Drosophila melanogaster: one gene and its partners. Changing the gene in region 3 together with the main gene of any one other region gives a genetic interaction. Each region holds a gene or a part of one and is shown on either strand. Other genes may lie near its edges. The genes, in order: parvin, Ets21C and Eip93F.

Region 1 (10,680 bases), on a different chromosome or scaffold from region 3:
ACTACTTGACCAGCGGCCGCTTGCCGTTGTCCGTATCGCAGGCGTTGCTCTTGTACTTGTTGACCTCGGCCAGGTACAACGACCAGAAGTCCTTCGGGTCCACGTCGCTCTCATTGGGCGTCTTCACTTTGGCCACTACGCCAGTTTTGAGAACTTTTCCGCCGCGACGTCGTCCCACGATGGGTGGCGGCGGCGCCAGCTTTCCGGCCGCCGCGGCAGCAATGTACGGCGCCGCAGCACTGCTGGCAGCTCCCAATGCAATGGCCGGCAGTGCAGGCCCTGTGGAGGCCGCCTCCGGCGGAACCAACTGCTGCTGCAGGACCTCTTTGACCGATGGCTGCATCAACTGGCTGGTCGCTTGCTGCTTTTGGCCCTCCTGCATCTTCTTAAACAGCTCCATGAACGAGCCGTCGTTGGCGAAGACAGGATGCGATGGTGGCTCAGGCTTTGGCGGCGGATACACTTTGCCCTCCCTGGCCAGTGCTTCGCGCAGCTTCTGCTCCATTTCGCGGTGGATGCGCTCCTTGTCAAAGGGCTCGTCGGTGTCCAGGTTGTAGTAGGCGCCCACCGCGGACGCGGCACTGCTCTTGCCAGCCAACTGGACTTGATTTGTGGCGGCGGCAGCTGCAGCGGCTGCCTTCTGTACGGCGCTTAGCTCCGATTTACTGGATGATGATGCATGGTGGCCTCTTCGTTGACTGTTGTTGGATCCATGGCCAATGTCAGAAGAGGACGGCGATTCCGAGCGTCGATAGTGGCTGGAGCGCCTTGAGTGGTCCCTATCGCGATCACGTTCGCGATCCCTAGAGCGATCTCGGGAGCGATCTCGGGAGCGATCTCTGGAGTCGCGGTCTCTGTGGTAACGGGATGACTGCCGTTTCTGGTGGCGGCGACGCTGGCCAAAGCGTTCGGCGGAGCGGCTGCGACTGCGGGAACGCGAACGGCTGCGACTGTAGCGACTGTGCTCTCGTCTGGAGGATCCGGAACCAGAGCCACGCTCGTAGTAGCCGCGCTGATGGCCGCGTGCGGCGCGCCGCTGGTGGCCGTCCTCCTGATCCCGCTGATAGTAGGGCAGGCGGGCCGCCGACATGTCGGGTGTGGATGTAGTGATGATCTGCAAATCGAAACTGTGCCGCGTTAAATCGAGCAGTTGACAGAGGCGCGTTTACGAAATACCTATACACAAGATCTGTATACTTTGTAATCAGTTAGCGTTTTGTTCTTTTTTTGGATCTGCGTCTCGGTTCGGTTCGGTACGGTTCGATTCTATTCTTTTCTGTTCGGTTTGGCGCGTGTCAGAATCTTGAATGGAGAACCAAGAATCGATAATCGAGAATCTAGCATTATTTTCGAGCACTGTCTTGACTTGGCTGGCGCTGGCTCCTTGACCGGGCCGAATCAGAATCAAAATCGGGTTGACTTGGGTGACATTGGGTACGGATTCGGGAGCCGGAACTCCAACCAAGTGGACGGGCGATAAGTAATGCTCGCGACAAGTAATGCTTCACTGCGCAGACGCGACTCTTATGCAATTTGGATACTCAGACTTGGATTTGGATGCATTGATTTGATTTGGACTCGATTTGATTTGATTCGATTCGATTTGATTGGATTGGTACTTGGCTGGCAGATTTCTGTTTGATAAAATGAGAAATGGTAATTTACTTGTTTGCGATGTCCGCTGCGGTGGAAGTGGATGTGGAAGGTGGTGTTGCTCCAACGTTGCGGCTACGTTACGTTATCATCCGTGGATGTTGTTCGTGCTGCTCGCCGTTGCTGCTGCTGTGGATGCGGAGGAGTCCTTCCGTTTGGCTGGCTACGTGCGAATCAGTGCGATTCAGCTTGTTAGCCTTTTAGCTTTTAGTGGCGATTTGTGCTTAACTCTTGACTGTTTGCGACTCTGAAACGTATCGGATTTTCGGATTCGCCTGCATGGAAAAATGACTTGAACGCATGAATACAAAACGTTACTCGAACCAGGACGCGCTGTGCAGGGGGTTTGATCTGATCTGATTTGAGTTGAGTTTTCTTTCTGGCTACAAAATAGTGGCTACGTTAAGGGGACTGTTTCTGTTCGCTTTCCGTTGCAACCCCTCGGTGGCGGGCGGTGACTTATGTAACCCTGGGGATCCGTACGCCCATTCGGTTACGGATCCATTTGGTGGGGGCCAACTTACGCAGGAAGATGCAGACCCGGCCCGCCCCTCATCAAACAACTCACCCCGACAGACATGACTACCCCGAGTGCATCAGCGAGTTATGTAACTTGTACTTTTTTCTTTCTTCTTTTCCTGCTGCCCGAGGAATTCGCCAGCGGAAGTGTGTAAGTGCGCTAGTGTATGTGTGTGTGTGTGCGAGTGTTGCGATTTGGAGTGGCGAAGTGGCGCCGCGCGGCCAAGTTAATTCTTGCTTTGGATGGCATCGATCGGTGCCTTGGCTTACGGTCTGGTGTACTTGATAAGGTGCCAAAACGAAAAACATACCTTTGTTGTTACGAGAGTACGACGAAAAATTTTCAACTGGCGAGAATCTCACGAGCCTGGCGATAGCTATAGCGATGGGCTGGCTCAAAACTATCGAGAGCTGTCACGGTGACAGCTAGAGCCAGGCTGCCAGATCGCTCAGCTATTGCCTAGTGTTCGCTAGAGTTGGCCAGTGTTGGCCAGCGTGCGATTCGGAATGGAGTCGCGAGTCCGAAACTGCGACACGCGCAGGTAAATGGAAAACACAAGTCGCCTCCTCCGCCGCTGATGATGGGAAGCAATTATCCCGAGCACGGGACCAAGCCGAGATCCGCCAAATACCACAAACAACAGAACCACCGAGTGGTGCGCAAGCAGCCGCCGCGTCCCGCTGTTAGCGACCGCCACAACATCTACATCACCAGCAAGACAGACTTTAAGGCAAGTAGAACTGAACTCATGCTGGATGGTGAATCGCCCATGTGCTAAGTGACAGAGTCCATCTCCTTGACAGGCCCAGCAGCGCCGCTGCGAGGAGCTGATTAACTCCGGCGCCCACGAGATCTTTCTGCATTGCATGGGCTTCTCCGTAACCCGCGGCCTCAATATCGCCCTACGCCTCGTCCAGAATTCTGACGGCGCCCTTAGCTACGCCATCAACACCTCCACCGTTCAGCTGGTGGACGAACTGCACCCGCTGTGCGATGCCGAGGACATAACCTTCCGCCAGCGCAACAACTCGGCCCTGCACATCAAGATCCTCAATAACAGTCTCTTCGACATCGCCGTGCCGCAACCGTCGCAGTCCCAGACGCAAGCCCAGTCCCTGGGCCAGTTCCGAGGCAAGGCGAAGGCCAGGCAGTAGCATGTTCAAACTCTCGGAGCTGGTGCGCTGGCTGGGGCTCACCGAGTTCGAGATTCTGGTCAATCTGTGCGGCCTGCTGGTGTTCACCATCACGCTGACCGTCAAGCTCCATCTGCAGGCCAGGGCCGGACCCGGTGGCATACTCCCGGAGCCCATGGGCGACTGGTTCACCGTCTTCAGCCCCCTGTTCTTCATCGACATCTGCAACGCGTACTTTTGCGTCATTGTGGGCATCCGCATGTACCTGGACTCTAACAACAAGCGCAAAGCCCTGCATCGCTTCATGTGGAGCACGTATTTCCTGGTGCTCATCGCCATCTTCAAGTACCTGCTCTGCCTGAAGCTATCCAGCAAGACGGGCCTCGAGTATTCGGAGGTCTTCTCGCCGATCTTCGTTCTGTTGCAGCTCGTGGCTGTGCGCGCCTGCCAGTTGCCCAACTCCATCTAAACCATAGACGTAGTATAGCCCTAGTTCCGTATTATACATATATGTAACTATTCTGAAAGCCTTTAAATCATTGGATTGGTAGTTATCTGTATACGCAATGTGGTACAATAATTTTTAAGCGGTACGAAATTTATCTTTCTGGATATAGCATATCTAATATATACGAATTATATCTGATCTGATTCGGTATGAAGGACATACATACATACATATGTTGTTGTGCTTTTTAATCAATGATCTAATGATCTACGCATTATAATTTTTTTAAAATTTCCAACAATTTAATTTGATGTACAAATTCAAAAACTATTAAGCTGATATGAATTTCTTCTAGCTGTTGTTGTCAAAAGCCACATTTTTTTTAAATTATAAATGAAAAATAACATTTAAGCTCATTGTTTTAATTTAATCTAAGGTCTTTTTAAACAATTTTTATAATTGGCAATTTAGTTTTTATTCGATTTTTTTGGAAGTTTCTCTTGAGTCCGAACGCCAGTGTTGGACAACATGTGTGGTGGGCCTGCGATCAGGTGGCAGCCCCAAGGGAAACTGATTGCTCAGCTCCGCCCGAAACGAATCGAAACAATAACACAAACTGTTCACTTAGTCCGGAATTCTTGGAATCCAGCAGCACCATGTCCACACTGAACCGCCCTAAATCCCCGCACACGCCCACCGCCATTAAAAAGGGCGAGAAGGAGGACAGCTTCTGGGACAAGTTCAGCACTTTGGGCCGCAAACGCGGCACCCGCGAAGGTAAGTCCACTTGATGATTGGAGCTCTCCAGATGGCTATTGTCGGCCAGGAATTGATGGGTATCCCAGAGTATTCCATTCTTGGACCCCTGAACCTCCGAAAAGTGGCCCAAAATGACCCAATGGATCCTCCCCCTGCGCACTGGAAGCTCTTCTGGGAACAGATGTGCGGATGCGCTGATTAATCAGAACATTGCGTCACTGTTGACCCACACAAGCAAACGGCGCTGATAATCGAGAGTGTGTGCGTTTGTGTGAGATGGCCTTGTGTCGTCACCGTTTTTGTTTACCTTGTTGATACCCTAAATACGCATCCGCTTGCTCCATTTGCAGTGAAGAAGGTCCAAGAGGAGGGCAAGTACGCCATCGACTCGCCTGGATCGCCCAGCCAGTATGACATCCCGCCGGAGGACTATGCCCTGCGTAAGTGCATTCGTTTTGAAGGGGCATCTCCTCGTATACCCATCGCATTTCCCACAACTCATCACATTTGATCCTACAGGCGAGCACGAACAGCGCGCCGTCATCGATCCACAGTCCATCAGTGATCCCCAGGTGATAAAGCTGCAGCGCATCCTCGTCGACTGGATCAACGACGAGCTGGCCGAGCAGCGCATAATTGTTCAGCACCTGGAAGAGGACATGTATGACGGCCAGGTGCTGCACAAGCTGTGGGAGAAGCTCACCGGCAAGAAGCTGGACGTTCCTGAGGTCACCCAGTCAGAGCAGGGCCAGCACGAGAAGCTCAACATCGTCCTGAAGGCCGTCAACCATGTAAGTAGTAGTAGTTTATGTTTTGCAGGATTTAAAAATCGGAGTTACCAACATTTAATTATTTATCCATTCTTAAAGTCGAATAGAATAATTTTTATTCGATTTACAATTAACATTCCCTTTTCTCGCGATATAAGAATAAATTTTATCCTTGCCCACACCCACAGACACTCGGCTTTCACCAAAAGATTCCCAAGTGGTCGGTGGCCAGCGTGCACTCGAAGAACATTGTGGCCATATTACATCTGCTGGTGGCACTGGTGCGTCACTTCCGGGCGCCCGTTCGCCTGCCAGAGAACGTGTTCGTGACCGTCGTGATTGCGGAGAAGAATGCGGGCGTGCTGAACGCGCAGAAGTTCCAGGAGCAGATAACGTCCGAGTACGACGACCTGGGCATGCGCTGCGAAAAGGACGCCTTCGACACGCTGATCGACTGTGCGCCGGACAAGCTGGCCGTGGTGAAGAAGTCCTTGATCACGTTCGTGAACAAGCACCTGGCCAAGCTGAACTTTGAGATCAGCGATCTGAACACGGACTTTCGCGACGGCGTATACCTGTGCCTGCTGATGGGCCTGCTCGGTGGATTCTTTGTGCCGCTGCACGAGTTCCATTTGACGCCGCAGGACGTGGATCAGATGGTCAGCAACGTGGCCTTCGCCTTCGACCTGATGCAGGACGTGGGCCTGCCCAAACCAAAGGCGCGGCCGGAGGACATCGTGAACATGGACCTCAAGTCCACCCTGCGCGTCCTATACAGCCTGTTCACCATGTTCAGGGACTTCGCCTGAGTGAAACCCGGATGGAACGAGCCAGCGGGTTGCAGGAGCAACAAGCGGCGCCAATTTTACATTTTATATTAACTTTTTGATAGTGTTTACACGCCTAATTTATGTGCGTTCTCGAAACTGATTGTAGGCGATGCAGCGGTTAAAGCTTACTGATCCTAACTCTCAAAACCACAACTAAATGCTGCGTCGCGTATAATCAGCCCAAGGAATGTTTATATATATATATATATATTTATGTGTCGTACGTCTAACCACTGCGATCTGCTCCAGATTCAGATTGCTCGGAACAGGAAGGAGCAGAGCAGAGCAGAGCTAACCCAAACCCAAAATCCGGCGGCCAGTTGTTAACTTGTCTTACTCACGTGCCAGACGTTGTAGTTGTTACTAAGTGAATTTATTGTATTAATACATTATTTGAACACAATAACCGAGATTGTGCCTTTAGATCACACAGAGCTTTTGCAAATTATGTCACAGATCAGATTTTAACGCTGTAAATGTAGAAGTTTACGGAAAAGTCTTAAAAAAAAATTTTATTGTGTACGTTAAAAATTTGGATCAGAAAAATCAATAAATATTGCCAATAGCATATGTGTTATTCTATTTTAAACAGTTCCAAGGCGCAAAATTTATCTGGGGCTGCAGCACTCACAAACGCCAGCTTCCATCCTATTCACATGTAAGTTCTTTCGAGCGTCTCGAATTGATTGAGAAACAAACCTTAGTAATTTTCTGAACGCTGTGCTATTTGAATTGTCGCGGTTGCGCGCGCAACTCGCAACGGTCTGGTATCGATCACAGCTGCGAGCAGGCTGCCAGATCGCTTCCCGTTCGGGAACGATTTCGCATCGATTTTCGATTGCTGGCCGGTATAATTTGAAAATGTTACTTTGCTGACCGGATTTTGGTCCTTGGCCAGATGTTGGCCATGAATCTAAAAGCCAGTATTTAGTAACTTGCGTTGATTGCAGCCGCTTAACTAAGCCGCTTAGCCAGATATGTCCTAATGTTATGTGTTTCGTTTCGAAACAAGGTGGCAACCATGCGCATGCTTTTTATGATTTTCACAATAGCCGAGCGAAGTTTCAAGATTCTAGAACTACCCACCACACCAACGCTTCTGCTGCGCCGCCAGTCCCACAACTACGGCTACGACTACATCAGCCCCACGCACATCGAACTCAGCCGGGAAGCAACTCGCCTGGTAATTCGCCGTCTGCAGCGCACCGTTCTCCGCCTGATCCGTGACCCGGACTTCATCATGTCTGCCGAGGCGAATCCCGAGATGGATAAGGAGCACCACGAGTCCCCATTCGCAGCGAACCGCAAGGCCGGTGCCAGCGGCGCCGGCAAACAGGACTCGAACTGCCGCACCTGCAACGATTTCAAGTCGTGGTCCAAGCAGCAACGCCTCATCTCCAACGTGCAGAGCGCCAAGGTGACGTGATCGCGTTGGCCACTTCGCCTTCGCAAGCAGGACGATAACACAAGAATCTCCCACTTTCATACTCCTCCAGGTGAAGCACATGGCCGCCGCCGAAAAGCTGACCGTCAACGCCGCCGAAGATCCGCTGCCCCGCGACGACTGCCCGCTGGACAAGGTGAGGCTGGGAATTTCCACCTGGGGACTGCTCCACACCATGGCCGCCTTTTACTCGGACAACCCCACGGACACCGAGAAGCGCGACATGAAGACCTTTTTTGAGGTTCTGTCGCGCCTTTACCCCTGCGAGTTTTGCGCCAAGGACTTTCGCACCGAGTAAGTGCATCTTCAATCCATTTGAAAACGCTGACACTTTAGCTGGACCTCTGTTGCAGCCTGGACGTCAACCCCATCAATGTGAACTCCCAAAAGGAGCTAGCACTGTGGCTGTGCAAGTTCCACAACCGAGTGAACGACAAACTGGGCAAACCGCTCTTCGATTGCACCAAGGTGAACGAGAGGTGGCGCGACGGCTGGCTAGACGGCTCCTGCGACTAGGCGCCGCAGCTAACCAGCGCCGAGAAGCCCCGTCTCCCGCCCGTTGCAGGTTGCCATGTTGACCAGACTTTGTCCCACATTTTGCTCGGCTGGCCCACAACTACAACCACGGAACACGGGACTCCTGCTCGGCGGTGTACCGCCGCCAACCCGAAACTGTGCCCTGTTTCTGGCCAGAGGCCATGCCCACCAGTCGGAACCTGCGTCAGCGTGACATTAAATTGAGTTATGTTGTAATAGAGCGACACATCGAAGGTCCATTGTTAAATGATTTGCTGGCTATGAACTCCATTAGAATATACACATTATGTTGAGGACCCGTATTATGCCTTCTCACTGGCCCTGCAGATATCGCAATCTCTAATCTGCCGACTGGCGTTTATTAGATTAGAATGGGGAAGGCAAATGCTTTCCACTTCGATAAGATGGGAGTGGAAAGATCTAAAGCGGAGTTGGAATACAATGCTTAGTTGGTTCGAAATTAGGGGATTTGGCTGATACTTATATAGTTTTTAGATTTCCTTTCTATAATACCTAAAGGACTAAAGGTCTTAAAATTTGTCTGCTCTGGTTATATTTTTTAATATTTAACTTAATTTTTTTTTGCAATCAACGAAACATTAACATTTTATTCATTTAACATTTTAATATGCTTAACATAAGAGATATAAAAATTAGTGGAATTTTCGTAAGAGTAAGCCATTATATGATTTACTTATATAACATGATTGCTCAGCAATAGTTTAGGTAGTTTAAGCGGGGAAATTTAAATTTGGCTAATTTAAAATATTTAATACCTCAAATTTAGATGAACGATATTTTCGATTCATAATTATCGGTGATAACTTGTTCGATAGCTCTTCGTTCAGAAATAGCCAGATTTGGCGGCGAAATAGCTGCCCCCGCAGCGCCGCTGCCCGCACATTGTCGTGGTAGCCAACACTAGCGCACATCGCACTACAGTTAGTTGCCTGCTGGCTTTTGCGCGTCGCACGTATCACTTCGTCAGATTTCTCGATTTGGTCGAGCTGAGTAGAGTGTAATTACCAAACAAAGAAATGCGCCTGGCTCAAATTGAATAAATAAAAGCGCCCGCCGTGTGTGACAATCACTTTGCCCACCCCCTTTGGCCAGAAAAGGAGCGCCACTAGCAGCGGAGGAAGAAGCAGCAGCACCATCACCACCACCAGTTGTAGTACAGGAAGAAGAAGAAGCAGTTGCCCTGAAAGAGAGAGAGGGTGCGAGCGAGAGAGGACGAAGCTAAGACAGGGCTGTTCGACAACCAGGTGTTTACATCCTGCTATCCACCATCTGTGTGTGTGTGCATGTCTGTGTGTTGTGTCGTCATCAAACAGCCGATTAAAATATTGAAATCCGTGCAATAAACAATAGTGTCTGTTCCCCTTTCATACTTACTATTTATTATAATTTTTTTTTTTTAATTTTTTCCTTGTGCAAACCCCCTCCCCCCACGTGCGGTTAATCGAACACTGAAGTGCGAACGCGAAATTGCGAATTGTAAAATTCACAAGGTGCCCAATTTGAAGCCAAACGAGATCCGTAGCCACATCGCAATAGCAGAATGGCCCCGGCTCTAAGCAAATTGGCCAACAACCAGAGCGCCATCGTCGGCGTGGCGGGCATGACGGCGGCCCTCTGGATAATTGCCTACGGAAAGATGTCCAACAAGAAGCGGTAAGCCCCCCCTTGATCTTAATTACGGATAATTGTGGCTCAACCATGTTATTTATGTTGCCTGTGCAATATGCAATATTCTACGAACATCTTATTGCACAAGGTCTCGGTCTTGGCCATCGATGTGTCCGTGATATTGACTTGAGTTTTGGATCGCTGTGTATTTATGTACAAACAGATTTGTTTGCGGGACATACGATGCGATGCCACTATTGTGGGTCATCTGGCGGACTGCAAAAACTGGTTTTCCGATGGCCGTTTCTGCCACACTGTATGCACTTCCCCCTCATTGTAGTCCGGTTTCAATTGATTCGTCCAGCAGCCGCGCACAGTGGGCCGGACAGTTCGTTTGCAGCTCCAAATACTGTTCTTTTCAATTGTGTTACCCATTGCCATAATCTTATAATAAGTTTGGCGACCACCAGCTTACGTTTTGAAGATTCTCAAAAAGATATTTTTAAGTGCAGTCCCAATACAAAAAAAAAGTCAACAGATCATCGATTCATTTAAGTAGATGTGAACCAAAGTAGCTGGATCTGTTTGCAGTCTATCCCTATTATGTAGATATACTGATATCTAGGATAGGTCTGAATGTATATATTGTCTGGGAGGAATGGAGGAATTCCGCGTACTTAGCAGAAGGTAGACTCAGATAGGCACTACATTTCCGGCCAAACAGCAAACTCGATTAGGAAAGCCTTCTCGGCGCCCTCGACTATTATGACCCGAATAGCCACTTCTTGGCGGCCTGCTTCATTGCGGTATCGCTTCAAGGATTTCCCCATCGAGCACCTGCGATGCGGACTTGATTCCCCGGTTAAGGGCCACGTTTCGGTGTTTGAATGGACTTGGTCTTTGCCGCTAATCTAATCGGCAACGCGCCAGTCTACAGCACTTCATCTATATGCCCCA
Region 2 (10,952 bases), on a different chromosome or scaffold from region 3:
CCACCTTGGAATGGAGCAGTAAAATTCGAAGTGGAGGCGGAGGAGGAGGCGGGCGCCTGGCCGGGCGAGGCCTGCGAAGAGGCCGTCGAGGACGAGGGGAATCCCAGGCTGGAGCTGTTCGAGGCGGGCGACGAGTGGTGCGGGTGCAGAAAGTGGGGCTGCCCCAGCTGGTGGTGCGGATGTGAGTGCTGTGGATGGTGGTGCAGTGGCGGCGGGTGGCGGCCCAACTGCATCGCACCGCCGGCGTGGTGATTGTAGGAACCCAGCATACTGGAGGCCGGATCTCCTCCCTGCGCCTGAGCCTGGCATGCGGCCATCAGACCGTGGAAGTCAAACTTGTAGGCATACCGCTTTCCGTGCACCTTGGTCATGATGTTCTTGTCGTAGTAGTACCTGCGAACAGAAAATGCACAAACATACAAATTTGCTTCACATCGTGAATCGCTGTGCCCGGAGACGAGAGTACCCACCTGAGTGCCCGGCTCAGCTTGTCGTAGTTCATGTTCGGTTTGGCCTTGCGCTCGCCCCACCGCCTGGCCACCTCGTCCGGGTCGATGAGCCGGAACTCGCCCGATTGGCCCTCCCAGCTGATGGCGTTCGCGTTGGACGAATCAGCGAGCAGCTCCAGCAGAAACTGCCACAGCTGGATTTGGCCCCCTGAGCCTTGGGCAACCAATCGGTGCGAGGCAGCGTTCAGCAGCTGGTACGGATCTGAAAGAGAGAGAAGCGGAGGACGGGGCATTAGTGGCGAATACTCGCAAAAACAGATACAGATACAAATACAGATACAGATACATGTACAGATACAGATACTTGGCCGAAGAGATGCCAAGAGCGAGCGAGAGGAGAACATCGCGAACGAAACGCCAGCCCAGCCAAACGAGATTTCTGGCGGGGAGCCGCGACGTGGCAAGAGTGCCAAGTGGGCTGAATGCCATAAGCCAGCGCGGATTCACAGAAAGTCAACCGCAAACGGGCATAAATCCTGGATCTCACGATGCACACGAAGAAAACGGGCATCAGTTGAAATATTATATTGAAATTCAAGTGCTAAAATGTGAGAAACACGAACTTAAAAGTTCAAGATATTTGATTTGCATGCATATGTATAGACTGCAAACTGAGTGGCATGCATCTATGGGGCGCAAGGGAGATAAATTTTCCTGTTTACTGCCCATGGGGACATTCCCACATCCCGAGGTCTATGCACCTCCACAGGGGAAATCCCTGGTCAAAGTGCCGCCGCAACAGCACGAAGCCATAATCAAGGTGACTCATCCGCCGATCGAGCAACGCGCCGGCTAAAAGACACAGTTCCCACTTCTAGACAATGTCGGACCGTTGGACCCACCATCCCGTGCCATTCGTTCATTCATATTTCTTGGGGCCCCGCCACCGGTCGCCGGAAATGCCAGAGATCTCGTGGCTGCCATTGAGCAATCTCCTCGTGCCGCTCATTCTTCGCCTGGCGGCTGGCATTTGCCCAGCGGAAATTCCTATGAATTTCGGCGCTCTTACCATTGAAGATCATCGAGGTGTGCGGATGCTGGTGGTGCTGGTGGTGGTGGTGGTAGTGGTGGTGCACGGCACCGTGGTGCGGATGGGGGTGCTGCCCAACTGGCGGGGCCGGCTGCATCCGGAGGCCAAAGCGCCGGTTGAAGTCCTCCGAGAGGCGCCACATGACGCCCACGTCCACGCTGACGCTCATGGTCGCAAAAGTCTTTTTCAGAAATTGCAAGTGCAAGTCACTAAACTATTTCCGTTTTAAACTTTAGTAAATATCTTCGATTAAGTCACATCAGCATTTGGATTATTTCTTAAAATAATCAATCGCATTTTACACTTTGCAGTTAGAAATTGTAAGCTTGTAAGCAATTTCTTTCTATTTGGTTAGCTATTATAGTTTAGGTTTGCTTTGAATGCTGCGTTGGATTGACCTTTGACCCGATTGGATTGTTCTATGACCATCAATGAAGGTCTATGCCGGGAGCGCGTCAACCGTTTAGGACGAGAGCCATTCGCCGACTGAAACTTTAGCCAGAAGCGCTGGCCGGATTTCGCTCCTTAGCACCGGACGGATGCCTGGCATCTGGCATCTTGGATGGGAGCATGGGCATCCGCGAAGCAGTCGAAGCTCCGGGCACGATTACGGCTCACCTGCGCAGCTGGTGGTAAATGCCGCTTCGGCATTTGCCAGGGAAGTCGCAAAGTCAGAGGCCACGTGCAGCCACTCAACCAGCACCCACCCCTTCGCACACGATAAGCAACTTGTTCTTTTGCAGCGTTTCGACTAATGCATACCCAGTTGCGAGTGGCTGGATATATTATAAGGTGGCAGGGGCGCGTCCGATGGATGATGGAACCAGAAAAGTATTCTGTTTGCGTGGGGAAATATATCCGAGTTTTTGGGAAATCATATGACTAATGGTTTCATTGGTATGTTCCTCAAGGTACGTACTATTGGTGGCTGTGGCATTGTGAACAGGGAATGGCTTTGATCCAGTTTGTACCCTGTAAAGGGGGCGGTGACTCAGACATGGGAGCCACAACCGTAGCCCACAACAAATGTAATCTGCGTGACGGCGACGACGCGTAATCCTGGTTGGCATAAAAAACAAATCAATTAAATCGACGTCGCCTGCTCCCGGGATCAAGGCATGTATGTGTAGTCCATGGAACACCCATCCACCAGCATATGCCAGACCCGAATCAGGGGGCTTTGCCCGCCCTGCACTTGCTCTTCCTGCCACAGGAAGGATGCGACGAATGAATATTTTCCTGTGCCCAAAAGCTGACCACCCGCAGAGCTGTTGTCACGGACAAACCACCCAACCCATCTCAGCTATCCAAGCCATCCAAACCACCCGACCTTCAGCCCACTTTTTCCGCCAAGCTGAAACTTGACTCGGCGACTTTTGTCGCTGGCGTGGGATTATTTTGATTTTATTATTAGATGCCACATCCTGCGAGAAATTATCATATTTACATCGTTTATTATTAAGTTCATCACTTGACGCGACCACCCACAAGGCCCTGACACGCCCCCCCCCCATCCCCCCCCAACGCCCATCGCCTTTGCGTTGGCAGTCATCGCCAGTTAATAACTGGAAAAGTGTTGCATACTTTGCTGCTGTCGCGCAGAGATTTTCCCAACGACTTACGTTAATGGAGTCTCGGAGAAAGTTGGCCAACTCGAGCGAAAGGTAATTAAAAGGGGATTTCCCGCACCTTCGGCCACTTTTCCTCCTTATCAAGACATCCGGAGAAGTGTGGGAGAAACAATCAATGGAGCACATAAGTTACAGCCGTATCAGCACGAAGGCATCTTAATCAGTGGCCATTTGGCCGGCGACGGAGGCAAAAGGATTCAATTGATGCCTGACCACAAAGGATTCGAGAGTCGGACAATCGCTCCGCTGGGAATAGCACGTGAACCCAATTACCAAGCAGTTCAATCTCTGGACTCTGCAGATTTATGTGGCCCGAGATTAGCTTGGGACAGTGAGAAAAATGTGGCTCCGTTTAAGTAGTTTTACTCGATTCTGGAAGGGTTGGCACTTCAGAAATAGGAATTCAAAGACTAAGCCATAAGAGGACATAGGCTAGGATTTGAAATCCCTCTTCAAATAAGCTCTATCTTAGGCACTCACTTGGTTCGTCGTCGTTGAGCATCGGACTCGTCTCCCGTCCGGTGGCGTGGTATAAGCTGATCGCGAAGTGCTGCGCCAGGAGCATGCCTCCGCGCCTTGATCCTGCACAGACCCAGAAGTCCGCGCGAGACAGATCGCACAGCTCCTGGGCATCCTTGGGAAACCTGTCGATATCCGGCTCCGGGTCCAGTTTGAACTTGCGCGTCGCCCATCTCACCCAGCTGGCAATGTCCTCGGGCGTCCAAGCGTGCGGATCCACGGGCACCTCCACGGGAGAGACGCTCCGGTTGGAGTCGCTGGAGTTCCTTCGAGGAGATGGCGCCTGGTGAGGCGATGAAACGGCGGGCGGAGTGGGTGTCGCCAGCGGGAGGGGCACTGGCAAGTTGAGGGCGGGTAATTGGCTTCTTATGCTACTGCTGCTGGTGGAGGACCCGGAATCCGAGTCTGTTGAGGAATATGAGGATGCGCTTGAGTCGCTGGTGGAGCTACTGCTGCAACGCCTTCTGCGTCTTCTTCTGTTGGTGGGAACTTCCGTCTCCTTCGCTTCCAGTTTGGTCTCGTTTCCGGATCCGATGCTTTTTTGCCGGACATCCTGATGCATGGCATTAATCGGCCTCTGTTGGCACCAAGCACTGCGAATCGTCTGGCTGATGATTGGGAGTTGCTTGTGGCTCTGGCGGCTATTCTGTAGAATGGCCATTAAGCTGGGATGTTCCTGCTCCCACTTCGAAAGTGCAATATCAGCTATTAGCTAAAGACTTTTGGTAGCTTTACCGTTTCACTTTTCTTTGACATTATTCGGTTGGCATATAAATTCATCTAATCTATATTTGCTTATTGTTTGATTTTCACTAAGATTTCATTATACCAGCTTGATTTTTGGTAAGTGCACTTAATTACACTTTATTGTTTATGTTTTTGGCGCCCTTTTGCACTACTAGAATATTCACTTCACTTTGGCCCTGTTTAATCATAATATTCTAGGAATCACACTTTCGCATTATTGCGTTTATTGGTAGCCTGCAACCGGTTGAAACGGATTTAGGATGTGTGTTCGTCTGGCTGGATGATTCACCCGAGATAGTCAGGGTATTTCACCTGCTGACCGGACAAGTGGAGTCAGCGGCAGGCTTTCCACGTGCCGCAAATCGCGGAAATCTTTCGCGGAAAGTTTGCGATTGGAAACGTTTAATAACCGTTATTGCATCGACCGATTACAGATCCGCCGATCGGGTTAAGAGTAGCGCCGTATTCCACTCCAGATCGCCGATCTTCGATCGCTCTGGCCCTGATCCGACCCACTTGGCGAGTGACGAACTAATGATCAGCGCCGGCGAACAGTGATAAAGCCATGACGAAGTCGGCTCCCATGAGCTTTCCACTTGGCGCTCTCTCGCCGACTCGGCTGCCCCATGACCAACCGGCTGACTTCGAGGGGCACTGGCTGCTCGGGACCAGTTTGCCGGCGGCGTTTGCCACTCGGCTCGCGAGCTTTCGCTCTCCGCAGTGCCCACTTATCGCTCGCTCGCAAAGCAAATAACAACCTTAAGCATGACGTCGTGAAACTGGCCTAGTCCGTATGAGTCACCCGTCCATTGAGCACAGCGATCGTCGATCGGCGGGAAGCCGACGGAGTTCCCCAGCCTTGTGTGTGGGCCACAGGGGGTGGCTCGGGTGGAAGGTCGTTTGGGGGCCAACGAAAATTCATTCATTCATCGATTCCCCTCCTATTTGGATTTGTTGTCTTGTTGCCTTTGCCGCGTCATTCTTCTGGGAAATCGGGCATGAGTCGTTAGTTGTCTGTGGTCCATGCCATGCCTACTTGGAATATCAGTTTATCTCTGTTCCGATATTTGGCAAAAGGTCGCTCCCAGAATGATATAAGATATATATAGATAGAAGATATAAATATAAATAATAAATAGTTATGTCATAATCGAGTGATACATGGTTTTCTCTACAAGCCTCCTATCCGCAGTTCATCCTTGTGCGCATTTTACTTCGTGACAAGTTCCAGTTAAGGGTCAGTATTTATAAAACTAAACCATTCCATATCCATATATGGTAATTATATTTGGGATCTAAATATCCAATTGCTTGACGTCGGTGACGTTTTCGATTTAGTTTATATCAGTTCGCCAACTGATTGCTCTTTCGATTGTTCCGAGTTTCGCTGGCTTCCTGGAAATGCCTCTGATTTCATACATAGCTGAGGACGCGGACGCTTTTGGGCAAGTGATTCACGGATGGCCGCTCTCTTTTGCTTTCCGACTGGCGCCGGCAGATCCGCCGATCCGAATCCGTATCGCTGTTTATATTTGCTTTGATGTGACGTCGGTCACTTGAACTCACATCCAAGTCATATACCTACATACATATACATATGTATGTTTCAGCACCGAAAGCTTTTACTAGGCTTGCGTACATCGTGAAGTTCATTCATAAAATTCCAAATGGCCCAAGCAAGGGATTTGTATACAATATAAGCAGAAATTTAAGCAGTCTTGTGAAATACAAATACAAGTTATACAAATACGTAACTTGTTCGTTTTGATTGAGAACTTTAAGATGCTTTCCACGATTTCTGTCATTGTATATACTTTCGTTTATGATCATTAATACTTAATATCTTAGCATAACTTAGTATCTGCTGGTTGAAACATTCCATTGTAGCCATTGCTTATCCAATTTAAAGGGAACTCTTTTGCCTATTTACTTGTTATCCGCTCTGCGGAACTGGGACGTGACTAGGTGCTGCATCGCCTATTAATTGAATCATCTAATGCAGCTCCTCGGTGATCTCCTCGTCATCGGCGTCGTCATCATCAGTAGTCGTCATCCCAGAAGTGCTGCTCATTCCAGTGGCGGCCGTACCGCTTGTGGAGGCGGTCACCTGGCGTCCCGCATTCCAGATGAGATCGAACTCCAAGTGGCACTCCTGCGCAATTTTGTGAACGATGCTGCGATCCAAGAGTCCCGAGGCACTCCACGTGCTGTCCTTCACGGTCAGCTCCTTCAAAGCTCTGCCCGCCTCAGAATAGTCCTTGACGTAGACCAGGGCTCGGATTAGCATGGCCAAGATATGGGCGTGGCGTATGGGCGGCAGTTCGGGTTTAACTTAATGTGAAAACAAAAGGTTATTAATGGAAGCTGAGTACACTCTAGGCCAGCGACTTACTCAGCATGCTGCGGCAGGAGCCAATGACCAGCTGGTGATCCCCCTCGCGCAACGCCTGCTGGATCTCCAGAATTGCCTTAACATCCGCGACCGTGCGCTGCAGATTGTTGTAGACGTGCTGGGCGTGGCTGAGCTTCTCCAGGCATTTGGAGGCTTCCTGCATGGCGGTTAGAGCCTTACCGTAATCCTGGAACTCCTCGATTTCGATCTGGGCGCAGATGGCATAAAAGTTGGCCAGCGAATCAAAGGCCTGGCCCTTTGTATAAAACGTGACTATGTGCTTGAGCACTTGCGGATCCGATTGCCAGTCCAAGGCTTGAAGATAGTTCGCAGCCATGATGTAGACCTCACGTTGCCTCGACATATTAGCGAAGAAAATAATTTTGTCGGTGTTGCCCGACTTCAAAAGACTCTTCATGGCGCGAATTTTGTCGCCAGCCTGGGTGAACTTCTTGGTGGCACTGTGATAGTCGCCCTGCTGCTGGAGGAACTCGCCCAGCTGTACGAGGATGTGGACTCGAGTCGCCTCCTCGAACTCCCCCTTCTCCGGAGTAAGCATCTCGGATAGTTCCTCCGTGACGGGTACGCCCTTCTCGGAACATATGCCCAATGCCCGTTCCAAATGTCTGGTCTTGGCCAGCAGATGCACGGCCTTCTGAAATTGCTCGATACTGCAAAAGAAATCCGCACAGCGGTTAATCAACTCGGCATCCGAATCGGGCGCTAGATCAGAGGCAATAATTTCCAGGATCTCTGGCTGCTGAGACTCAAATGCCATCTCGAGGGCCTTGTGGAGCATCCCGGCCCGATGGTAGAGTTCAACGGCGTGTTTAAAGTTTCCGCACTCTTCAAAGTAAGCTGCCGCAATTGCCTTGTCCCTCTGCCTTGACGAGCTGGCCACCGTCCATAGTTCCTCCTGAAAGTCGTTCTCCTTGCAGATGCGGATCGCATTGCTGAAGGTCTGGGCACGCGTAAAGAACATAATGGCCTCCTGGAACTTGCCCACGTTCTCGTAATGCCTCGCCAAGTGATAGCAGGCCGCCCGATCCCCCGACTGCCTGGCAATCGCGTCTGCCTTGGAGATCTTACCTAGGTAGCAGAGTATCTTTACCTTGAGAGGAACAGGATGTTAGTGTATAGTGTTTCGTGGTATCTTAAAGCCTTGCTAATTTACCTGCGAGAACCAGTCCTCCGCCTTGTGGTAGACAGCCAGAGCAGCATCCATGTCGCCGGAGCTCTCAATATACTGGCCCCACCATTTAAGCAGCTTGGGATCGCTGGTGGTCTGGATGTAGCGCTTCATGGCGCCAGGGTTTTCCAAAAGCAGTTGGGTAATATTTTGCGCTGGATTCTGGGTCTTTTCAAAGTACTCCAGAGCTCCCTTGATGTCACCCCTCTCTCGCAGCTCCTGTGCCTTTTGATAGTACGTGTGCTTCAGATGAATCCGATCCTCGGCCTCGGCCAGCTCTACTGCTTCATCCAAGTGCCCAATGGACTGGAGCAGCTTGTTTAGCAAATCGAAGCGCTTGCATCGACGATAAAGATCCTTGGCTTCCTCAATCATTCCGAGTTCTATCGCCAGCACAGCCACCTTGGCTTCCGTCTCCAGATCGTCATCTTCAATCGCTTGGCGTAAGGCACGAACGGAGCGGGCCTGTTCCAAGTGGCCCATGCACACCTTGGCCACGTCCAAGCGATTCGTGTGCACGCACATCTTAGCCAGATTTGTCCAGATCACTTTCGATTGAATCGAGCGAATGCTGCGATAAGCCATATCCATATTTCCCTCTGCGACGTAGAGACTGAAATTCAGGACTTGCTTCCTCGTAACTGGATTGCACTGCTGTAGGTCGACGAAGTCTTGCAGAGGTTGCTCCTCCATCGTATTGATCTTCAGCCGGATCACGTTGGGTACACAAAGGTTCAGTAGCTGGCAGCCTGGGCTCATGGATTGTGTTTCGAGGACATTCAGGCAGCCTTTCTCGGAATAAAACAAAAGGACGACTTTTGACTGCACAAAATGACTGGGTTGCAAGGAGTTCTTCTGGGGCAGGGTCTTCTGAATCATGGACTTGACTTCTGTAGCCAAGAGACGAGGTTCCTCTGCATCCCAGAAAATCCGAACCGGCAAACTTGTCGAAGACTCCTTCTTGGCGTTGGTTTCTGGCTCCAGTAGTCCATATTCAAGAAGATTGCTGCGCTCAAAGTCCCAGCAGAATAAAGTGGATATAGGGGTGAAATTGCTACTGGCTATCACCATGGCCAAGTGGCTGCCGGAGCTATTGCACTTGACCAGAATGAACTCCCCGAAGTCATCGAAAATGTCGTGACCCGATTTGCTGGGAAAGAGCAGCTTGGGATCGTGCCTAGAAACGTCGTAAGCTTTCACATATCCATTCATGGTAAATACCGAGAGATAGCAGCCACTCAAATCCATTCCAATGATCTTTCCTTCAATATCGCTTGCTTGAATGCGGTGAAGCACTACCCCTCCCACGGAGTAAACAAAAACGTCACTGCTACCCAAGCAAAATATGTTCTGGTTGCACAGATTCAAGGCTAAGCATTCGGCAGCAAAGGTCTGCAGGAGTTTCAGACTCAACGGAGTGGTGGTAGATTCCGTCGTCGGTGTTGTGCCCTCCACTGTCTGCAGGATCTCCTCGAACTCATCCAAGCTCTTCTCCACTTTCTGCAGGCTATAGGATGATATGCTCCTGCCATTACTCATCACCAAGCTCAGTTCACTCAAAGCCATGGCAGTCACGGCGAACTCGGACTGAACAATGGCCTCCCGACCGCTGCAGTGCGTCAATTGCACTGATTTGGCTGACCTCTGAACTGCCCACAGTTCGCGGGTATGAACGGCGAGCAGAGGTTGCTCCTTCAGCATGAAAACATTGGAAAGGCAGTTGACCAGCATGCAGGGCTTGGCTAGCTCATTGTATCCCCATTCGCAGCTGCGGATGGCTCCTCGCACGGAAGATATGTTCGTCAGCTGCCAGGCATCTTCGGGGGCACCGACTAGCCTGCTGCCGCTCCTCTTCCAAGTATAGACATTCCCCTGGGACGTTCCTGCACACAGAGTCTGTCCCGTAGAGCTATATGCCAAGCAGGTGAACATTTCGCCGTTCAGCTGGCCGTACTTTGGTGTCTTGCGGAGAACGCCGCTGCTTTCGCTGCTGTCATGGCTAAAGAATTGGTTGGACGAGGACATGGTGCCATTACTTAAAGTGGTCATAGATGAGCCTGGCTGGTTGCCACTGGGTAGGTCCATTTTCAATAGGTAATTGTCGCTTCTCTCGATGTCCCAAATGCGGACGAAAAAATCGCCTGAAAATTAGTCTTAAATTTAGCACAGAAGTGAAAAATCGAATAATATATCCTACCTGTTATGATGGCTAAAGAGTTTCCAGACCACGCGATGCCTCCCTGCCGACCGCCTCCACGTCCGCTCATTTTAACACGATCCAGCTCCGTAAGGATGCCTGTGGATTCAACCAAAAACAAGGTGACTGTCAAGTCCTCCATCAGGCAAATGACGGCGTCCCTAGAATGGAATAATGTTAGGGTTCAGGTAAAGAACCTTTCGATCTCAACAGCTCTTTACTTTCTTGGGTGCCACAACATCTGGACAATGGGAGGCAGTGATCCGCACTTCATCACCTCGACACAGGCGCCTCCTTGGTTGATGTAGTACACCACTCCTCCTTGGGTGCAAGCGTAGAAGCAGTGGTTGTCCCGCACCCCCGAATGGGTCATGCTCCGGGCTGCTGTGCGCGGTCTCCAATTGGTTAGGGTGTCCAGGGCGTTCTCATCGCCTGCCACAGCAGCCTTGGCTAGATTGGCCATCTCCTCGCGCACCTCACTCTCCACCGTAAGGCGGAAGCAGATCAGCAGCAACACCTCCCGCAGGTCGTGGGAGAACATGGTTAGGAACTGGTACTGGCCATCGCAGCGCCATCCGGTGACCAAGCCCATGGCATCCGCCGTGACCATCCGCCCGCCCTGCTCGCTGAACTGCAGCAGGACGATGGCCGCCTTGTGCGGTGCGTTCACGCTGGCAAACTCCCTGTGACCAGCGAACCACACATGGATGTCGCCGTGCTCCCAACCGCTGGCCAGGA
Region 3 (10,495 bases):
TCAACGGCAAAACAACAAAGTGGCCTGGCATCCGTGTCTCTGTGGGTGAAATGAAGTTAAATGCCGCTCAAGGATGCTAAATGTGCCATGTCGAAATGTGTTGTCTGTGCATTTGTATGGAACTATTTGGCTGCCGGCATTATGTGTGTCGGTGCTTATTGTCCCTATCTACTTCGGTGTGTATGTGTGTCTGTACATAACTGTTGCATGCCGATGAGCAACAGGAGCATTGTCCCTGCCCCAGCTGCACCAACTGCTCCTACAGCTCCTGCTGCTCCTGCTACTGGCATGTGGCACATTTTCGACATGTTTTGTTGAGCATTTTGGCAGCAGAAATAGCAAAAGCAGCAGCGACACTATCTGGCTGCTCCTCGTTGCCCGTTACAATCTGCAGGAAATGTGAAAATAACGTTACGAAACTTTTTCGTTGCAATATGCGCAACAGGAGGTAGCAGCAGCAGCAGCAACAGCAGTAGGAACAGCAGCAGCAGCAACATCTACAGCAGGAATGGCAGCTACCAATACAGCAGCAGCACCCACAAAAAAGCCACCCCAAACCCATCAGGACTTTGTTTTTTGCTCTGACTTTGCTTGTTTTTTGGCTGCTGCCATTGGATGGTTGGGTGTGGGTTCGGGTGTGGTGTGGGTTCCTCCTCTCACCTAAACACCCAGCTCTCTGGAAGTCTGTCTTCGTTTTCATTTTATTTAGTTTTCACCACCACCCAACCCATTCCATCCCATTCGCTCCACATTTCCCATACCCCGACACACAACTTTTTTATTTTGCACTATATATTTGGGTACAACGACTTGTTGCTTTGTCTGTGTGTACCATGGGTGTGGCTGCTTGTTTACCAACACCAGCAACTAAACACCCTCACATAGAAGACAAAACCAAACCGAAGCAAAGCACCCATCCGCCCCGTATGCTGGTATGGTTACGTATACGACCTGTGCCACGTCGAGTGTCATATCTGCTGCTGCTTGTTTTATGATGTCAGTTTCGGGTTTTATTAAAACTGCCTGAAGATATATGCGATGACTTCTTTGGCTGCCTGCCTGCCTGGCCACCACTCCCTCCCCTTAACTTCGACCTTTGGATTGCCACCTGGCTAACCGGCGATGCAAATGCACTTTTTTCATAAATATGTGAGCAGGCCAAATGCATCACATTTGAGTTTTTATATATATTAAAATCGGTCGCCTTAGTACCGCCTTTTGATATCGCCATATTTGTCATCGTGAGTGCATTTTATAATATTAAAGAAGTTCTTTCGGTTATACTTAAATTTTATTTTAATTTTCATTAGACATTCTACACTTTATATACCTCTTTTTTTTTTTGTTAATTGTAAAACTTTTCTTGGCACGGTTTCTTTGAGAGCTTTATTGTATTCTGGTTTAAGTGAGCTAATATTTGTTAGTGCTGATGACTATCGCTTCACTTCCGTTGCTAGTTAAACTACAGTTTTTATGGGTTTATGACTTCCACCATTTTTTTCGGTTTGATTATTTATTGGCTGTCGCTTTTCTCGCCGTTGCATCGCTGCAATTACTCTTGCCCGCCTTATCAATTTGCGAAAAAAAAGACTTTGGGTCCCCCGATTCGCGATTCGCAGCGCCGCTTACAAATTGAGGTCACCTTCAAAATTATCAAATTTCGCCCGAAATGATTAACTCGACAAACACGAAAATGTCCGACCCCTCGGAAAAGTCCTCGTCTCGAAATTGTATAAAGAATAAAAAGCGGCAGCAGCAGCAGCAGCAGCACTACACTCGCTCGTTTGCCAGCAAAAAACCTTATCTTTGTTACACAAAAAAAAGAAGGAAAACAACAAGGCGACGATGTTGTTGATGATGATGAATTTGCCCTGATTTCGACACAAAAACAAACAAAAAAAAAACAAATGGAAAACTGCAAAACTGAAAAAAAAGAAGAAAGAGAGGCGTTGTAAACTAAAGAAGCGAAATAGAAACAAAAATTAGATAAGACGAAATTGAGTCGCAGGCCGACAAAGCGACCAGAAGTTTTTCAAGCAATTCGCGAAAATAAAAAACTGCCACAAAAATGTGACAAAAAACGAGCAACAAAAAAAAGTGGAATTATGAGCGGTGCAGCAAAGTGCAGCGCGTGTGTGGCCTCGCTGGTGGAGGAAAAGAGAGGGCGCGATTGCGGACCGGAGGAATAGGAAAATATTTTTTTTGTCAGCAGTTGTCTAAATAACGAAGCCAGAAAGCAAACGAACTAAATTGCTGAAAAAATGCAAAAAAAAAAAAAAACAGCGATGGCGGAATGAAAATAAACGAAAACGTAACAAAAATCAATTGTCGCCAACCAAACGTCAATACAAGTGTTCGTGCGTGTTGTCCTCTCTTTCTGCCGCCGCCAGCCGTCCTTGTCTAATTGTTGAGGTATGGGTTATTCGTGTCCGTGTGAGTATCGTCAAAATTCAACCGCAATTGAAACTATTTGTAAGCTGAAAAGGGGCAGAGTTCTATGAATTTAATTGTTGCATCGACAACGGCAAAATACAAACATAAAACCCAAAAAATAAGCAAAGAATAAGAATTTTAAATAAGTCGATTTTGAGTCAAATTAGAAACTCTTTAACAAAGGTTCGATTAGTAAAGTGGTATATATTAGTTATTCCTATTTTACAGATTATTTAAAATTCATTTCTCTATTATTTCTTCAATACAACCTATTTGCCATTTAAAATATTAATTAAGATAACAACTTGAAAAAAGAAATTATGAAATTTAAACACAATCAATGCAAACCATATTGAGAAGAAAAATATCATAAAATGGCTCAGTTTTCTATGGAATATCTAAAAAATAGAGGCAAACGTGTTTGTTTTCAGTAAATGATGCCACAAATAATTTGCGAAAAAAACGCTGGAAAATATGAAAAAACTGGTATGCAGGTTTATTTTGTATTTCCATTTTCTATTTTTCGCAAATTTTTTGTATTTCTTTTTTTTTTGCGAAAACAGTTGAATTGATATTTGCGAATGTTGTTGGCTAGTTATTTTTTTTTTTTTTTTTTGTTGCTGCCGACTAGTTTTTTGTTTGGAATTTTTTTCGTTGCTGTGCAAAAGGTGATAAGCTCAAGGACAATATGGCAGTTTGGCATTGCCGGTGCGCTGTTGCTGCACTCGCCTAAAAATTGTTTGTTCAATTGTGTTTATGCATATGGAAAATATCGATTTTGTTTTTGGACAACAATGCGGGGAATGCCAAACGCAATGGCCGTCACACAATTGGCTCTATTAAGGTCGCCGCGCTGTTTAAACTTTACAGTCGCGGCTGCGGAATGAGGAAGCCATAATCATAATTGACCAACTCCCATTGTCTTCCCCACCTGTTGCCCAGTGTTTTTCAGCTTTTCTTTGCGTAGGGGATTTGACATGGCCAAAGTTAAATTAAAAACATTTCCTCCCCCTGCCCACTTGCCCCTCTGCACGTTGCTCCTTGCTCCTTTGCTCCTCTGTTCCTCATTCTTCCCAATCCGAATCCTCGTTTGGGACACGCCTTCTATGTGGAGCATAGCCCAATCTCCTCGGCCAGCTAGAAACAACAACTGCCTGTTGCACCAGCTATGTACTTCCAGTGCACTTCCAGTGGCCCCACCATCCAACCAAACTATATAAACTATATAGTGGCGTGGCATGAGGAAGATGCGAAAAAAAACTGCGAGAAAGAAGCGAAATACGAAAAATAAGCACAAAAAAATCCAAAGCCTCCCAATTGCAGGAGCCATACCCCATCCCCCCATCCACACACCCATCCTGCGTCCTTTCGAGCAGAGCAACAGTTTCTTTTTCACAACATTTTCCCAGCCACACGAGGATTGGGGTAATACTGAAATCACACTAAGCTCTGTCGGATTTCGTTGTTAGCAATTTGCGTACAATTTTAAGTTGATTTTAGAATTAAGCCAATTTTTAAGGCAAAATATAGCATTTTAAGTGTGTAGTTACTTAATTAATCAAAAGTATCAGGGTTATTTAAAGTACTGATGTAGTTGTACCTATTATTTCTCTACTAAATGAGGAGATATAATTATGCATATTACATTAGCACCACAACTAAGCTGAATATATAAGTAGTCTTTTTGAATTTATTCCTAATTATTTCAAAGTAAGCGTAGTTGCGGTAAATTCACTCAAAACGCATGCATAATTTCGATAAAAGTTGATATATATATATAATGGCAACTCACAGAAGTGCAGGCTTTTTAGTTTCCATAAAAGTGAATCACGCATTTCCCTGAGCGTAGATGTACATAGACCCACTAGACCCTTTTGGCTTTTGGAGTGTGAGTCACTCACTCAGTGAGCGATAAATGCATGGCGACTACTGCCCGACTTCCCGGAGTGGCAGCAACTTGTTGCTGTTGCTTTTGCTGCTGCTGTTGTTGTTGCAACATCTAATCCAATCCAAGGCGAACAATGGCGAATGCAAATGCAGATGCAACCACTTCCTTTTGTCTGCCGGAGGAGGCGAGATGAGGAGGCCGTGTTGCAATTGCCGTTGTGCCGCTGATGTTGCCCGTGTTGCTCGTGTTGTTGCTGCTGCCTTGTGTTGATGGTCAAGGTCATGAACCTGTTCCAATAACTCGTTTCTTACGTGCAGCACACACACATACACACACACCAAGAAAGGCAGACTGGTAGTCAGATGACTGTGTGTTGCATGTTGCCCGCCTGTTGCACTCCCGTCTAATGCTAATCCTGGCCAGAAGCCAGCGGCTAGAAGCCGGGATGACTAATGGATATCCGCACAAATCAATTTGAGAACATGAAATTAAATTTCAATCCATCTTGGCTTCTGTCGCCTCGGCGGCAATTTAAAGCTAAAAACTTGTCGCCGTCGTGAAATGCGGAAAAGCCTCAAGGACAACGGCGAGTGAAAAGAAAATTGCGACGCGTGGGCGACACATCAGTCTGCCCCCACTTTTATATCCCCCTTATACCATCGACTGATTCATTGTCTTATTTTTTTCCGTCTATGTGGCAGTCAGACTGTGTCATAAATCGCCGCAAATGAATTATTCGAAATCAAATGCAATTGTGCACAAAGCGAATCACTTGGCGAAATATCTACATATATAAAAACAATAATAATAAAAACATCAAGCGCAGTGCTTTCCGTCTGTCAACTTGAAATTAGAAGCGCATTAATTAGAAATTTTTATTATTCGCTCGCACTTAATTCGCATCCACTTCATTTGTCTTTCTCTATTTTATTTTTTAATTGTTATATATACATATTATTTTTCATTCAAATTCAATAAATTTCAAGTTGACATTTATATTTGCGCATTAATTGGTCGTTAAGATTTCCGCGTATTTTTTTTTGTGCCTCATAAAGGAAAACCCATTCAAGTCCATTGTAGGTGACAGATTGTTTGGAAAAGCAAATATAACGATGGTGCTGGAAGGGGGCAGTGGTATCTATACACCCATTAGAGGCACTTGTTGGGCTTCCGAATGCAATTGTGTTGATTTCTTGAGACGATGGAAAGTTTTTCAGCTTTTCATAAACACTCGATTGATTTTCGCGAATTGCTATACATTTGAGTAACAAGACTTTAATTACCTCTTTCAATATTACTTAGCGAAGGCGCATATAAGTTCTTATCAAATTATTCCCTATTCTAGAATGATCTATTATTATTTCTTATGAGCAACGAACATCTTGAAAGTGAGCAAATCAGTGCAATCATTTAAGATGAATCACAGGCATTTAGAGTCATCCGATTTAGTCAACGGAACCGATCCCAAAACAATTGGAAAATGCATGATACGGCATAGGTATAATAATAACTATACAGCTCAAAAACTTGTTGCAGTTGGGGAAAATCCGGAAAGGTTCTTTGTAAACTAATGCAGGGTAATTTAAATTATACACTTAGCACTCAAGTATTTTGTTATTTGATTTTTTGCATAAATCACCCATTAGTTAGTTCTAGTAAACTTAGTTATTTAATTATAATGCAAATGGAGCTACATAATTCAGGGAAATCCCAGAAAATACGCTACCCGAATTGATAAGAAAATATCTACACTGAGGATAATTAGTAAGCCGTTAAGAGAGAGAGAGAGAGAGTGAGGACAAAATGCAATTTTTATAATACAAAAAATACATTTAATTGAAACATACATGATTTAATTAATTTTTGTAATGTTTACAAAGAACCCAAAAGTGCTGGCTCATGAATTTTTTCCCCATTCTGATGTATGTACATAAATGGAATGATTAAAAAAGAATTCTTACTCACTTTTCGTGGCAATGCGTCCCAATATTTACAAGCTCATTAATGTAAATATGTAAAAAATTTGTGGTTTTTTTGCAGTACGATGAAAACGTTGACTTTGTTTGTGGTATTTGTTTTTAATGTATTAAACTTTTTTCCTTCTATCATTTATTTGTGGTTGTCACAGCACTTTTGCATTTTCAGCTCTTTTTACTTTTTTATTTTTTTTTTTCGTTTTTAGTGGCCTGGCATGTCAACTAAAAAATTTTTGTCATAAGAAAAACGCACGTTAAAGGTTTTTCTCTCAGTTGCTGTTGTTGTTGTTTTCGCTCGGGAAGAGGAAGCATGTTAAAGGTAGTGTGCATGTGCGTGTGCGTGTGTGTGTGTGTCTGTCTGTGTATGTGTGTGTGAGTAGAAAATAAATAAAAATTCGCACACCGCGACCAGCGTCAACAACAAACAAGCAACAACAACAACAACTGACACTGACAGACCGACGTTACTAATACGCAAGAGCGCAGGCAGCGACGCCGGCAAACGCTGCAGCAGCGAACGCCGCCTTCGATCCGAACCCAAATCGGTCGGGCACAAGAATCGCCCGTCTGGGCAGTGAGGAGAATGGAGAATCTCGCAGAGAAGCCGAGTCTGGCGAGAATATCCCACTATCGGAGTAGCCAAGTATCCGAGAAACCGAGAATCCGAGGAAGCGTGAAGCCGAGAAACCGAGAAACCGAGAATCCGAATCCAAATCCAAATCAGCGGGGCCGGGACCGAAGCGAACCGCTCGAGCCGACGGACAATAAAGCTAAAGCCAGCCTGCTGCCACAGCTGAGCAGACCGCTGCAGTCGCGTTCGACGAGCGGATGCACTCACGCACACAAGCAAGCCAGCATTTCCACTCGGCCAAAAAGTGCATTCGCAGAACTCACTCAATGAGAGCGAGAGGGAGCGGAAGGGAGAGAGAACGAGAGGTTGGGAGAGCGAGTTAGCCGGCTTGCGTGCAACTGTATGGGTGCCTTCATTCATGGCAGCCGGTAAAAAAAGGCTAAAAGCGAAATTGGTTAACAGAGAGCCACAGCAGCAAGAGGCTAGAAGTAGACGTTGGAAAAAAAGCGAAGAAAAAGAAAATGGTGGCCCAGAGAGCGCTGGATTTTCCGCTCAAGTCGCGGGAAAGGCCAAGAGCAAGTACAGTGCAATTTTTAATTGCACACACACACACACACACACACAGAGACTCGCACTCACACACACACATATGCATAATGCACGCTCTCTGAGAATTTCACACATATTTTTTTATTCAAGCAGCATTTTGTTCTCGAGTTTGTAAAAATTTGCAACGATTCGCTGCCAGTAGTGGTGCTTGCATTTCATTTTTTTTTTCTTTCTGCTCAGCCTCAGTTTTGGTGGGTTTTCGATTTTAGGTCCGCGTCCGAATCGCCAGCGTTCGGCACTGGAGGCGCTCACTCACCGCTCGAAATGCAACTGGCGGCCAGCGACGAAGCAAACCGATCCGAGCCGGCTATACGTCTATATATTCCACATCCACTTCCCACAACGGAGGCTCTTCTCGGCCGGGGGAGCGGCGGGGCACGCGGAAATCGGCGGGAGGAATACGTAGGCTACCGTTGCACATGCACTTTTTTAGTTTTTATTTTGGTTTTGAGCTTTTTTGTTTTCGTATTGTTTTCGTTTTTTCACTTTTTTCGGTGCGAATGTCGAGTGCCAGAGCGTACTGAAAACTAAAATAATTCATTTGGGCTGCCACTTTGAAGAATTGCGATTTTTGTGAGAGAGTCGGGAAAGGATCTATGGATGGTGACCCCCAAGGATTGAGCGATCGATAATTGGGTTGGAGCCCAGATAAGCGTTGCATTTTTCCGGGAATCGTTATAGTGCACTACTCGAGGGTCGTAAAAGTAGACAGCTTATTTTTAGTAAACAATCGTATCAGTTCTATAACCCAAATACCTTTGTTAAGCCTTATAAATTATACCAACCCACAGACTTCTCTTATAGTTATTTTTATTTGAGTTATCAAAAATCGTCAAATTTTTGACATTTTTCATAAGGCCATTTCCAGCTAATTATGTTTGCTAAGAACTTCAAGACTTTATATTAAAGTCATTTTGTCAAGACATAAGATAATCGCCTTTAATATAGCCTGACTAACCCCAAAATTACCCATTGACTGACTGAGAAACTGAGTGAGTACCTATTATTAACCAAAAGCCCCAACGAGGAACTGATTGCGCACCTTAGCGACTGAACAACTGGGAAACTGACGACCGGACTGACTGACCAACTGAGGAAATGACCGACTGAGAACAGACTGCAATTCGAGTCGACTTGCAGCGACTCAATTGCATGTCATTGTAGACGAAAATATTTTTAGTTTTATTGTTATTATTTTCCTTATTTTTTGTGCAGTTTTTTCGGCGTTGACTTGGCGTTGGCGTTGACTGGAACAACTTATGGACCGGACCGATGGAGAATGAGATGTGGGCGGTGAAGGGGCAACTAGAAGAGGGGCAACTGAGGGGCTGTTGGGGGGATATACTCTGGGCCTGGCCCCTGGTCTCTGCCAGAATTTTGAGTCGTGACTGGTTTCAAGGTCCCTCAATTAATGCGAAAATTTCGTTGTAATTTTTGTGCCGCTTTTTTTTTTTTGCTGTTTGTGTTTGCATGATTGTAAATGAAAGAAACAAAATTCGTGTATAATAAAAATAGTAATTGTTTAGTTGGTTTCGCTTTTTTTTCTGCTGTTTTGTAATTTGTTTTGGTTTTTATTTGCTGTGGCACAATTGCTTTTTTCGAATGCTATTCTAATAAGCGAAATATTTGTGCATTTAATTGCGCTCACAAATGACCTTGAAGCTGGTTTGCACAGCTCTGACATTTGTGTGGTTGGGGAGGAGTGACAAAATTGGGGTGGGAAAATTGATACCTAAGCTTATTTAACATTTGCAAATCAATTAAAAAGTGTTATTGAGACCATATGAATAAAATATTATTTCATGACAAAATACGACGATAATCACTTGATCGAAAAAAGGAACTCTCAAGGACTTACCGTCCGCTTTAAATTGCATCTTCCGGTGAATCAGAAAAGCTACCAAAATACGCTCTTGCATAATTATCCTTTGAGCTTGAAGTCCTGCCCACCCCTGGCCCAGATTGATGCCCACATCCGCTATGAAACTCCAGTCGTCGTCATCCTCTCAAGCACTTAAGCACTCGGCACAAGTATGCCCGAAAAAGGAAAAGAAAAAAACCAATACGAAAACAAGGAGCAGCCGAAAAAAGCAGAACTTCAAAACATAATGTCGCCATCAAGGAACACATATAATTGCTGTATTTACAAAAGATAAAATCGGCGACAACATGCACACGACCCGAACTTGTCGAAAGGAAAAAGTGCAGCGGAGGCGCAGCGAAATATGGAAAAAAAATGAATGAATGACGGACCAAGCAATTAAAATTAAAACCACGTAAGCAAATGCGACAAAAACCCCCGAAAATGTCGTTGAAATGATGGGCAAAGGGGGGAGAGATACTGCACAACTGAAAAATCCACCCCAATGCAATTGCATTCTGTACACAAAAGATGCACGAACCAAAACGTGCAATTTGTGTTGAATGCATTTCGAAAAAAGCAAACAAAAATCGGAAAAAAGTACCCAAAAAAAAAAAATGGTATGCAATTTTTGCATAATGAAAAATGCAGCAGGCAAAACGCACACACTCACACACACGCACACATGTGCAGTCTATAATGAAACGCACGGTATGCACGGGCATTGAAAGCTGAGCTGCAAGCCGAGTTGAACTGCAATCCAGACCCAAAAATATATTCTAAAATTAAAATGCAACGGCCTGACGCAATGCAAACAGCCAAAGGGGTGCAAACACAGACACTCACACGCACTCACACTCCCAGTTGCATCACGCACACCACTGCGGCTCGAGTACAAAGAATGCATTTTTGTGCATCTTGAAGATACTCTTTGCTTCGGCTGGAACAGGAAGAAGAGGAGGAGCGGGTCGACTGCCGTAGGGCTTAAGGGTCCGGACGCCCAGACTCTTCGTCTCGATTAATGAACAATCTTCAAGTGCGTTTTTCCAACAAAATTATTCATTTCCTCATATGCTGACGAATGGAAAGGTATCAGTAAAGTTAGCATAACGTCTTCTACACCCTTTAAATTAAAGCACTGCGATATCAAGAATATA

Evidence for each region.
Region 1: of Eip93F (region 3) and parvin, changing one enhances a phenotype caused by changing the other (phenotypic enhancement), as found in Drosophila melanogaster (one study listed by BioGRID).
Region 2: of Eip93F (region 3) and Ets21C, changing one suppresses a phenotype caused by changing the other (phenotypic suppression), as found in Drosophila melanogaster (one study listed by BioGRID).

What each region holds. Positions count from the first base shown.
Region 1 is NC_004354.4:19,741,779-19,752,458, forward strand, and holds parvin (parvin), read left to right. Parts: upstream 1-4,262; 5' UTR 4,263-4,410; coding exon 4,411-4,531; exon of another isoform or gene 4,532-4,709; intron 4,710-4,863; coding exon 4,864-4,953; intron 4,954-5,032; coding exon 5,033-5,304; intron 5,305-5,471; coding exon 5,472-6,092; 3' UTR 6,093-6,680; downstream 6,681-10,680. Other genes in the region: CG18809 (uncharacterized protein), read right to left, coding at 2-1,090; Rpp20 (ribonuclease P protein subunit p20), read left to right, coding at 2,751-2,903, 2,977-3,327; CG33932 (uncharacterized protein), read left to right, coding at 3,329-3,775; Alr (augmenter of liver regeneration), read left to right, coding at 7,135-7,530, 7,610-7,851, 7,911-8,073; Abcd3 (ATP binding cassette subfamily D member 3), read left to right, coding at 9,656-9,768.
Region 2 is NT_033779.5:547,508-558,459, forward strand, and holds the start of Ets21C (Ets at 21C), read right to left. Parts: upstream 4,948-10,952; 5' UTR 4,351-4,947; coding exon 3,651-4,350; intron 1,996-3,650; exon of another isoform or gene 1,709-1,995; coding exon of another isoform or gene 1,519-1,708; intron 712-1,518; coding exon 471-711; intron 394-470; coding exon 1-393. Other genes in the region: rempA (reduced mechanoreceptor potential A), read right to left, coding at 6,430-6,767, 6,829-7,939, 8,003-10,158, 10,215-10,375, 10,436-10,952.
Region 3 is NT_033777.3:21,945,664-21,956,158, reverse strand, and holds the start of Eip93F (Ecdysone-induced protein 93F), read right to left. Parts: upstream 7,046-10,495; 5' UTR 6,757-7,045; intron 6,520-6,756; 5' UTR 6,287-6,519; intron 1-6,286.